Macaca mulatta: one gene and its partner. The protein of the gene in region 2 purifies or fractionates together with the protein of the main gene of each other region. This does not show direct contact. Links are inferred from orthologs where the notes say so. Each region holds a gene or a part of one and is shown on either strand. Other genes may lie near its edges.

Region 1 (5,026 bases), on a different chromosome or scaffold from region 2:
AAGATGGGGAAACAGAGTTCAGAGATGTAGGATTCCTTGGTCAAAGACAGACAAGTTTAAGGGAATGGAATGGAAACTTGAGCCCAGGTTGTAAGTCATAATCTGTGTTATTTCCACTGCCCCATCTTTTTTTTTGGAGACGAAGTTTTGGTCTTGTTGCCCAGGCTGGAGCACAATGGCACAATCTCAGCTCACTGCAACCTCCACCACCGGGGTTCAAGCAATTCTCCTGCCTCAGCCACCCTAGTAGCTGGGATTATAGGCGCCCGCCACCACGCCTAGCTAATTTTTTGTATATTTAGTAGAGACGGGGTTTCACCATGTTGACCAGGCTGGTCTTGAACTTCTGACCTCAGGTGATCCACCCACCTTAGCCTCCCAAAGTGCTGGGATTACAGGCGTGAACCACTGCGCCCAGCCTCCACTATTCCATCTTTACTTCTCTCAGAGTGAGCAAACAAGAGGCCTTCCTGCCGAATCTGCCCCTATCTCCTTCTGTTTGGTAAACATAGTTGCTGCTGCTTTGGTTTTTTACTATAAATTTGAATGTCTTTATATTGGCCTTGCACTTTCTACTCCTCTAAGATCCCCACCAATCGCTGTGGTCTAACTCCAGGTTGCTTCACAAGGTTGTCACCTTCCTGGTTCTTTAGGCTTTTGTGTTTTTGACCCCTGAAGTTTCATTCAAGTTCAGTTTGGAATATCTCATTCCAAAAGTCAGGAAGACTGGCCTAAAGTTATACCTAAGTCGTGAGTTAACCTTATTGTAAGAGTTAAAACATTAAAAAGACTGAATTTTCCCAGTTGCCAAAAGGATGAGCCATTCCCCTAGTCCCCTTTCTTAAAAAATTTTCTTGAGCAAATTCTAATTATAATCCGTGTGTGTGTGTGCGTGTGTGTGTGTGTGTGTGTAACTTTTTAAAAGCTAAATAAGCCTCTTGTCAGATAGAACCCAGGAATCTTTTTCTTCAGGTCCCGGGAGCCAACTCCTTGAAATGTAACTATCAAGGTAGACAGTGCCCCTATGATCCACGCTCGCGGGAGTTACCCTAAGCGACTTGCTCCAAGCCGTAAGTACCTGTTTGTCACAGAGATAACGTTTTATTTTTCCTTTGGATAAAGGCAATTAACCAACACAGACGGCCACTCCAACGGTGAACTACCAAAAATTGAATATCAAACCATGTTAACTCGTCTTACTTGAGAACGTGCGTGTGCTTTAGCTACATAAAAGGTGATATTGTTGTCTCTCTTTGCAATCTCATTAGTGGATTGCCTGTGACACTCATTCCGGTCTGGTTCGATGTTTACAGAATAATACAACTTTTTTTTCTTTTCTAAATTTGTGGAGATTTTCTAGGATGGCAGGGGATTTTTTTAAAAAATTTTTTCTCGACAATATCAATTTATTTAGGTCCCTTACTTTTACTAGCCACCCCTTCCCACCTCCTTCCAATGGCAAATTAGAATAACTTGCCCCTTGCTCACCTCATGCGTGGCCTTGGGAACTGGTGAGAAACTGCAATCCGTTGGCGGCAGGAACCACGATTCCCAGCATTCCCAGCGCTCTGAGTCCTTCGGGCTTCCTTTTCCGGGTCTCGAGGCTGCTGAAACCGAAAGTGCTGTGCTGTGGGCAGCAGCGCCGAGATTGATTCACCTTCTCCTGTGCGGAACTCCAGCTGACCCGAGTAGGAAGCCAGACGAGCTGTAAATCATGAACGGAAGAGTGGTTTATTTGGTCGCTGAGGAAGAGATCAATCTTACCAGAGGACCCTCAGGTATGTGCGGAACGGGTCATATCTGATAGTAGGGGATTAGAGGGTGTAATTGCAGACATCTCTGCTGCTGAGCCGGATTCACCTGGCCTCGGGGCAGGCCCCAACCTAGAGGTTTCGTGCAACGCTTTGGGGTGCTTAGAGAAAATATGTTGAAATCCATCATTAGCCAGATACGGATCTGAGGAATCCACCTCAAAATCCAGTCGGATGACCACAAATATATATAGTCACGAAAGGGTTCTTTCTGCAAATCGTGCTAGAAAAGTCTTTTTAAAAGTCTGCTTTTTTAGCCTGCTTGTCGTGGACACCACATCCTTCCTACCGTTGCCTGTTCTATCCTTCACGCTATGAGGGACCGTTTAGTAAAATGGGAGCATAAGCGGTGTAGACTCTGAATGCATAGCCGTTTTCCTGCAGCTAGGATCCCTCCCTCGCTCCTTTGATTTCTGGGAAATTCATTTACAGTGCCAACTAGAATGTTAAAGCAGGAAGAGCCCTTAGAAATCTTTTATTACACAGGTTCTCAAACTTGGTTCCGCCACAAAATTTCCCAGGGCTTTAAAAAAAAAAAAAAAAAAGGCCGGGCGCGGTGGCTCAAGCCTGTAATCCCAGCACTTTGGGAGGCCGAGACGGGCGGATCACGAGGTCAGGAGATCGAGACCATCCTGGCTAACACGGTGAAACCCCGTCTCTACTAAAAATACAAGAAAATTAGCCGGGCGAGGTGGCGGGCGCCTGTAGTCCCAGCTACTCGGGAGGCTGAGGCAGGAGAATGGCGTGAACCCGGGAGGCGGAGCTTGCAGTGAGCCGAGATCGCGCCACTGCACTCCAGCCTGGGGCACAGAGCAAGACTCCGTCTCAAAAAAAAAAAAAAAAAAGAAAAAAAAAGAAAAAAAAGTTAATTCTTATCTCCTATCTGCAGGGATTTGGATTCAGTACGGATTTATTTTATTTATTTATTTATTTAAGTTTTTTTTATGAACACCTCATGTGATTTTGAGCAGCCAAACTGCTATCCTCTTACCCCACTGAGGCTCTTCATTAAACTGGGCTCTTGACATTACTACATTCTGCCTTCTTTCGACTTTGTTTATTTTCCTTTACAGCTATTTAGTTGATCGATTAAGAGCTTTAGCTTTGGAATTACAGTATCTGGGTTCAAATCTTGTATCTAACCGCTTACTGATTCTTTGATACTTATTGGCTCACCTAACTGATGTAAGCCTTAGGTTATCATCTCTAAAATGGGGATGGTTATAAATATACTTCATAGTGTTGTGAGAATGAAATGAGTTAATCTATGTAAAATGTTTACAATATTGCCTGACCTATGGTAAGCAGTATGTGTTTCCTACTGTTGTTATTGTTTTTTTTTCTTTTTTTGGAATGAAAGTCCTCACATATTTATTACTGAACCCAGCCAACCAATGCATTCATAATAGATTCAGAGAGGAAAATACGTCGAACTCTCCAGAGAGTGGTGACATTTTCAGTTTGATATGGTAATGTGATCGTGACCTTCAGACAGCACAAATATATGTGCCATCTCATGTGCAATTCCTTATAGACCCAGCTTGGTTCTTCTCCAATGTCTCCTTTTGGAGTTGTACCTTATTTTATTTCCAGTTTTCATCCGAATCCACTGGGGAATGGGACGATTTTGCTTTTGTTTCTTGGCCAGGAATCGCTTAATCCTGAAAGTCTTGTGAGAAGACATGGCGAGAAGTGGAAGCAAGAACACACCACGATGGCGGAGAAAGGAAAAGAGGGGGTACTGTTGTTATTGTTAATGGATAAATAGCTAAACTGACACAGTAGATCCTACTAATACTGTATTCCAAGAGTCTCTAATAAATCATCAGGTACTATGAGCTCCATCTCTGAAATGTTCCTGAAATCCTTTCACTCCTTTTTCCCTTGCCACCACCTAGGACAGCCCATCACCTTTTCTCACTGCAGTTCTGCAGTAGCTTAATCATCATGGATAGATTATTCTTTATAAAATATAACTTTCAGAATTATCCATACTTTGTGTCTTTTTTTCTTTTCTTTCTTTCTTTTTCCTTTCTTTTTTGAGACAGGGTCTCACTCTGTTGCCCAGGCTGAAGTGCAGTGGCATGATCTCAGCCCACTGCAGCCTCTCCCTCTTAGGCTCAAGCAATCCTCCCACCTTAGCCTCCTGAGTAACTGGTACCATGGGTGTGCACTGCCAGGTCTGGCTAATTTTTTTGTATTTTTGGTAGAGACAATGTTTTACTACATTGCCCAGGCTGGTCTTGAACTCCAGAGTTTAAATGATCCACCCACCTCTGCCTCCCAAAGTCCTGGGATTACACGTGTGAGCCACTGTGCCTGGCCTTCCTTTCTATTATAAATAATTGGAAGTTGGTTTTACTTATTGTAATATAACCCATCACTAATATCATTATTAATATTATTATTATTTTTTTTTAGAGACGAGGTCTCGCTTTGTTGCCCAGGCTGGTCTTGAACTCCTGGACTCAGGCAGTCCTCCTACCTTGGCCTCCCAAAGTGCTGGGATTACAGTCATGAGCCACCATGCCTGGCCTATCACTAATCTTAATGGATTAGTGTCATGGATTATGTGCGCCTAAACTTTTGTCAAAGGTTCATTTGGTATGCCCAAGTTTCTTGGATTCATTTTTTTGCTATTTTATGTAAATTTATCCTTCACGCACTGTTAATATTTATTGACTTTTGAGCTAACAGAGAGTTACTTTTAAACCAAAGTCTGTTTTTTTGTACTTTTAATCCATTGGTAACTTGTTCTCTTAGGACCAACTAAAACAATGCTAGTTCCTTTTCTGATTGCTGTCCAGGTATTTATTTAAAGGCTCTAGTTGTTCTGCTCCTGTTTTGCCTCTTTCTTCTTTATCCTACATATCTTCAGTTATTTTACTACCTCTCCAGATGCTTGAGATTTGATTCTTGCCTTTTGCTTAAGAATTTAATGTACTTTGACATAGTCTTTTTGCTGGGGCATCCACAGTATTTTCAGATCTCCTGTCTAAAGCAGAGCAGGACCCTGATATTATCTCTTGTTCTAAACATGAAATCTTTTAAAAATTCAATATAATTTCACTTCATTTTTTTTGGCATTTGCAGTCATAAATTTCCTAGTGTTAGTATTTTCTCAAAACATTGGCATTAGGACAAGCTTCAAGGACTAATTAAAGGGAATAATTATATCTAGCTAGTATATTTCACCCAAAAATGGTTTGATTTCT
Region 2 (4,806 bases):
CCTGGGCCCCAGCTGGGACAAGACCTCCCTGAGGATGAAGTTTTATCCCCTATATAATTTCTGATGATCTGGATGAGGTGAGGAAGGGAGAAGTTTGGAAAGGAACATCCATAGGTCATCCTCTCCATTCGCCCACCCTCAGGAACATCTTACCCTACTCCAGTGCTTGGCAAATTTCAGTTTATAGAGAGGTTTCTCTCTCAGGAGTTTCATCCATGTTCCTGCTGTAGTTCTGCTTTATCAGTTGGTGAGCAGATCACTCATAATTCCTCCAAGTTCCTTGTTTCCTTTTCTACCTGCTCACCTCTGGGAATATGGAGGATGTAGGAGAGAGAATATTGTTTCTTAAATAGTTCTGCAAACTGAGTGAAGCAGTTGAGATACTACTGGCCCTAGGGAAGTAGAGAAAAGGAAGTGAAAAAATTTAAGGGGTAGAGGCTGGGCAGGGACAGGTTTTAAGCAGCTTTGGTAAACACAGGCTGATTAAATCTATGCCCTGCAGAACCAGATAAAATTTATCAGCTGCAGGCCTCATCCTGTAAGACACTTCCTCTAAGAAATGGCTAGTTTCTCCCCAATGATCAACCCCAGTTCTGCTGCTGCATCTGACAGATTTACGTAATATGCCCCACATATACTGCATTAAAAGGTAATCATCTTATGACCAACACTTCCGTCATCAACGTCCAGTTAGCCTAGTACCTAGATCCCAGGACAACACTCTACCTCTAAGGCCAGTTAACTAGTAACAATAGTCATCGGTGTACCCCGCACTTTTTCCTTCCTAAACCTACACAGTACACTGTGGGACTGCATTAGTTCTGCACCTGACTGGCAAACCTTCCTTCTAACTCAGGCAAATGTGAAAGGGAATTGTCTTTCCCTCACTCTTGATCCCTCATTTTAATGTCCTAGAAGTTCCTCAGGGTCAGAAAATTCTTGGAAAATGTAATAATTTGCGCTGCCTCCCTCCCTTTTGGAGCCAACTAGTCTTATACCCATCCTCTATGATAGAGATGACTTATTAACTCTTGGAAATTTCCAAAAAGAAATAAAGCCTCACTTTCTATTCACTCCTCTGCTTTTTTCCCCACTTTCCCTGAAGGCTGGATTATCTCAACTCTGTAATTCTCTGACTCTCCAGTTTTCTCCAGGGTCAGTCGTTACACCACACAAACAAGGTAGGGGATTGGGGACGGGATAGACAGGGTCAATCTTCAAACACTTTCATTCCAAATACGATCGTATCCTTTCCTTTTGTAAAGGCAGGCAGGAAAAGGATAAGGAAGGATAAGGAATGTGCTTAGAGTATGAAAACTAAAAGTCGGCAAAAGAATATATACATATCCCAGACCAAATCCTGCCAAACCGTCCGAATGAGTAGAGGGAAATCCTGACGCTCCACAACCCCTCAACTTGGCAACTTGGGCTTTCTCCAAAACCAAGAAATTGGCGGTGCGGCTCTCCATGACGTCATACCACAGGGACTCCAATCCCACGTGGGGGAGCTCTTGGTCCCGCCTCTCCTGAAATGGTGCACCACGCCTTCTCTTTATTACCAATCCAATGCCGCCCCTGAGCCCCTTTCTTCCTTTTCCCGCCATCCCAGACCTCCCATCTTGGCCTTCGGGCCCAATCAGGGAGGCCCTACCTATCCGAAACCCGCTGCCTTCCCCGCGGAAGAGGGGAGGAGTTTCAACCTTTTAACTCCACCTTGGTCTGTGCAGCGCGGACCAACCCAAATCGCCAGACAGGAGGGGCGTGGCTTGAAGTCCCCCACCTCCATCCCGGGGATCACGTTTTGCCACTGGAGGGGGGAGCTGATCGCAGGACTAGGCAACCTCCAGCCAGTCCCTGGGTCGGGCGGATCCTCCCAGAGGTGGCACAATGGAGCGATCTCCAGGAGAGGGCCCCAGCCCCAGCCCCATGGACCAGCCTTCTGCTCCCTCCGACCCCACTGACCAGCCCCCCGCTGCTCACGCAAAGCTAGACCCAGGTTCTGGAGGCCAACCTGCTGGCCCTGGCGCGGCGGGTGAGGCCCTGGCGGTGCTGACTTCGTTCGGGAGGCGGTTGCTGGTGCTGATACCGGTGTATTTGGCCGGGGCAGTGGGACTCAGCGTGGGTTTCGTGCTCTTCGGCCTCGCCCTCTACCTGGGCTGGCGCCGGGTCCGCGACGAGAAAGAACGGAGCCTTCGAGCAGCGAGGCAGCTACTGGACGACGAGGAGCAGCTCACGGCGAAAACTCTTTATATGAGTCATCGAGAGCTACCTGCCTGGGTGAGCGACCACCCTCGGTCCTCTGTGCAGCATAGCCCCCTTCCACTCCTTCCGTCTGGGGCTTTTCCTCCTTATGCCTAGAGTCAGCTCCCCGCCTTGGGACAGTGGGCCCCGGACTTTCCCCTTTCTCCCCGCTAGCTGCCTGCCTGCTGGACGCGCCACTCTTGGGACCGACTGCTGACTCTCCCCACCCACCCTTTCCTACGCCCAGACTGGATCCTTCCACAGAATCAGGACTTCTTCCTCTACTCTTGGGCAACAGCAGTCATAACATCTGGGGACCCCGTCTCAGCCGAAGCTCTCCCTCCTAGCCAAGCCATCTTCAACGCCCCTCTTGCTTTTGGTGCCACTCGCGCCTTTGCTGCTCCTGGAAATCCTGGTCCCGTTACCTCTCAAAGGTTTCCCTAGTCTTTGCTATGCTCCTCGAGACTTTTTACCTACTTAAGGCCTTACGGTTCTCTCTTTTCTCGCTTTTATCCCCGGGTATCCGCTGGAACCCAGCCCCGGCCCCTGGACGACCCTCAGGCAGCCACCTTCAGGCCTCCAGCCGCCAGGCTGCAGCGCGGCAGAGGCCGCTGCTGGAGGGAGGGCGGGGTACGGGAGGAGGTGGTGCGGCTGCTGCAGTGCCCGCGGCCCACACTCCCCCCCACCCCCTCGGCCGGCCACACCCGTTTCCGGACTGTGGGCTGCGCTTGTTCCGTTGGGGCAGAGACCCTTATTTCTGCGGCGGCCGAGTCTGCTGTGCTGAGGCGGATGCCTTCTCTTTAGCCTTGCAGAGGCAAAGCCCGTTACCCGGCCCCTCCCAGCAGAGGTGCCAGTCTAGGGGGAGAATGGTAGCAGAGAGGAGTCAAAATTGACACTAGGCAGATACAGCCAAGCTTCCTAGGCCTTGGACTGGAAAGGGGAGGAGAAAGAGGGTGAAATGGCCCTAGGGGACCTGTAGCCTAGGCAGCAAGTGTTTGTCTCCTCCCCGTCATCATGGAAACCAATCTACCCCCAATACAAAGCACAGGTGTCCTTTCCCTTAAAAGGAGTCACACAGAGAAAGATAGAGGAAAAGAAAAAAAAAACAAAAAAACACGCACACACACACCCCAAAAAACCCACAAAGCCAGGCCCAATTAGGTCTTCTGGCCCCTCCCTGACTCAAGGAAGGACTTGCTTCCCTCTTCACCTTCCTGCTCTAGAAGCCGGGTCTGAAGGGAGTTGAGAAGGCAGGACTTTTTTTTTTTTTTTTTTTTTTTTTTTAGACAGAGTCTCTCACTCTGTTGCCAGGCTGGAATGCAGTGGCCCGAACTTGGCTCACTGCAACCTCCACCTCCCCGGTTCAAGCGATTCTCCTGCCTCAGCCTCCTGGGTAGCTGGGATTACAGGCATGCACCACCATGCCCAGCGAATTTTGTATTTTTTGTAGAGATGGGGTTTCACCATGCTGGTCAGGCTGGTGTCGAACTCCTGACCTCGTGATCCACCAGCCTCGGCCTCCCAAAGTGCTGAGATTACAGATGTGAGCTACCGCGGCCAGCCTGGAACCAGGACTTTTTAAATCCCAGGATTCCCTGAAACTTTGATTTGACTGGGCCTCCCCCTCCAGAAAGAATGTGCCCTTCTCCTCCTCCTGCTCTTCTCTCTCTCAGCAGCTGTCATTTCACCACGTCCCTGAGCTACCCACAGGGCAACAATGTGACCTCTACCCTGTCAGCTCCCCTTATTAGAGAGATCTCAGCCCCCAAATTCTGTGAGGAATGAACCTTTGGGGCATCCCAGCCCCTCATCCACCCTGAGTGTGAGGAGTCTGTCACACTTACACACTCCCTCTCCTCTGTGGCATACCACCAGCATCTTGGTAGGAAACCAGAGGCGAGGGTGTGCACGTCACTGTCTCTGCCTTCCCCACCTCCAGGTCAGCTTCCCAGACGTGGAAAAGGCTGAATGGCTCAATAAGGTGAGGATTGATTTGATTTTTAGTCTTCGTGAGGGGAGAATGGGAATTTGTTTCTTCTTGCCAGACCCACCCTCATCCCTCAGTGCTCTCCGTAGGGATTCTGAAGGAACTTGCCTTGAGAGGGAAGACTGGGTTCTCCTCTGACCATCTCTCTTTCCTTCCAGATTGTGGCCCAGGTCTGGCCCTTCCTGGGCCAGTATATGGAGAAACTTCTGGCTGAGACTGTGGCTCCGGCTGTTAGGGGATCTAACCCCCATCTGCAAACATTTACATTTACACGAGTGGAACTGGGTGAAAAGGTATGTGTGGAGGAGGAAAAGTGAGGCGGTGGGATAGGGAGGGTGAATGACCCAGAGTAGACTGAGGTACTTCTCCCTTTCCCTCCCCTGTCTCAGGACTTTCTCTCTCCCTAGCCATTGCGCATCATTGGAGTCAAGGTTCACCCAGGTCAGAGAAAAGAGCAGATCCTGCTGGACTTGAACATCAGGTAATACCACTCACCACTCTTACTGCTTCCCCTTCAATGTGTCCTGGTCAGTCCAGGCTACTTCACTCCCCTTCCCCGCAACTTCAGCCAAGGACTA

Evidence for each region. The genes of interacting proteins can lie anywhere in the genome.
Region 1: the proteins of ESYT1 (region 2) and SYNJ2BP purify together in Homo sapiens (affinity purification with mass spectrometry; 4 studies listed by BioGRID and IntAct, with this or other methods). This does not show direct contact. The link is inferred for Macaca mulatta from reciprocal best matches to the Homo sapiens genes ESYT1 and SYNJ2BP.

What each region holds. Positions count from the first base shown.
Region 1 is NC_133412.1:143,571,246-143,576,271, reverse strand, and holds the start of SYNJ2BP (synaptojanin-2-binding protein), read left to right. Parts: upstream 1-1,626; 5' UTR 1,627-1,714; coding exon 1,715-1,778; intron 1,779-3,150; exon of another isoform or gene 3,151-3,339; coding exon of another isoform or gene 3,340-3,495; exon of another isoform or gene 3,496-3,546; intron 3,547-5,026. Other genes in the region: large ribosomal subunit protein eL39, read right to left, coding at 3,340-3,495. UniProt on the Homo sapiens protein: Regulates endocytosis of activin type 2 receptor kinases through the Ral/RALBP1-dependent pathway and may be involved in suppression of activin-induced signal transduction.
Region 2 is NC_133416.1:63,277,461-63,282,266, forward strand, and holds the start of ESYT1 (extended synaptotagmin-1), read left to right. Parts: upstream 1-1,616; 5' UTR 1,617-1,887; coding exon 1,888-2,235; coding exon of another isoform or gene 2,236-2,277; intron 2,278-4,180; coding exon of another isoform or gene 4,181-4,222; intron 4,223-4,386; coding exon of another isoform or gene 4,387-4,428; coding exon 4,429-4,521; intron 4,522-4,635; coding exon 4,636-4,709; intron 4,710-4,806. UniProt on the Homo sapiens protein: Binds calcium (via the C2 domains) and translocates to sites of contact between the endoplasmic reticulum and the cell membrane in response to increased cytosolic calcium levels.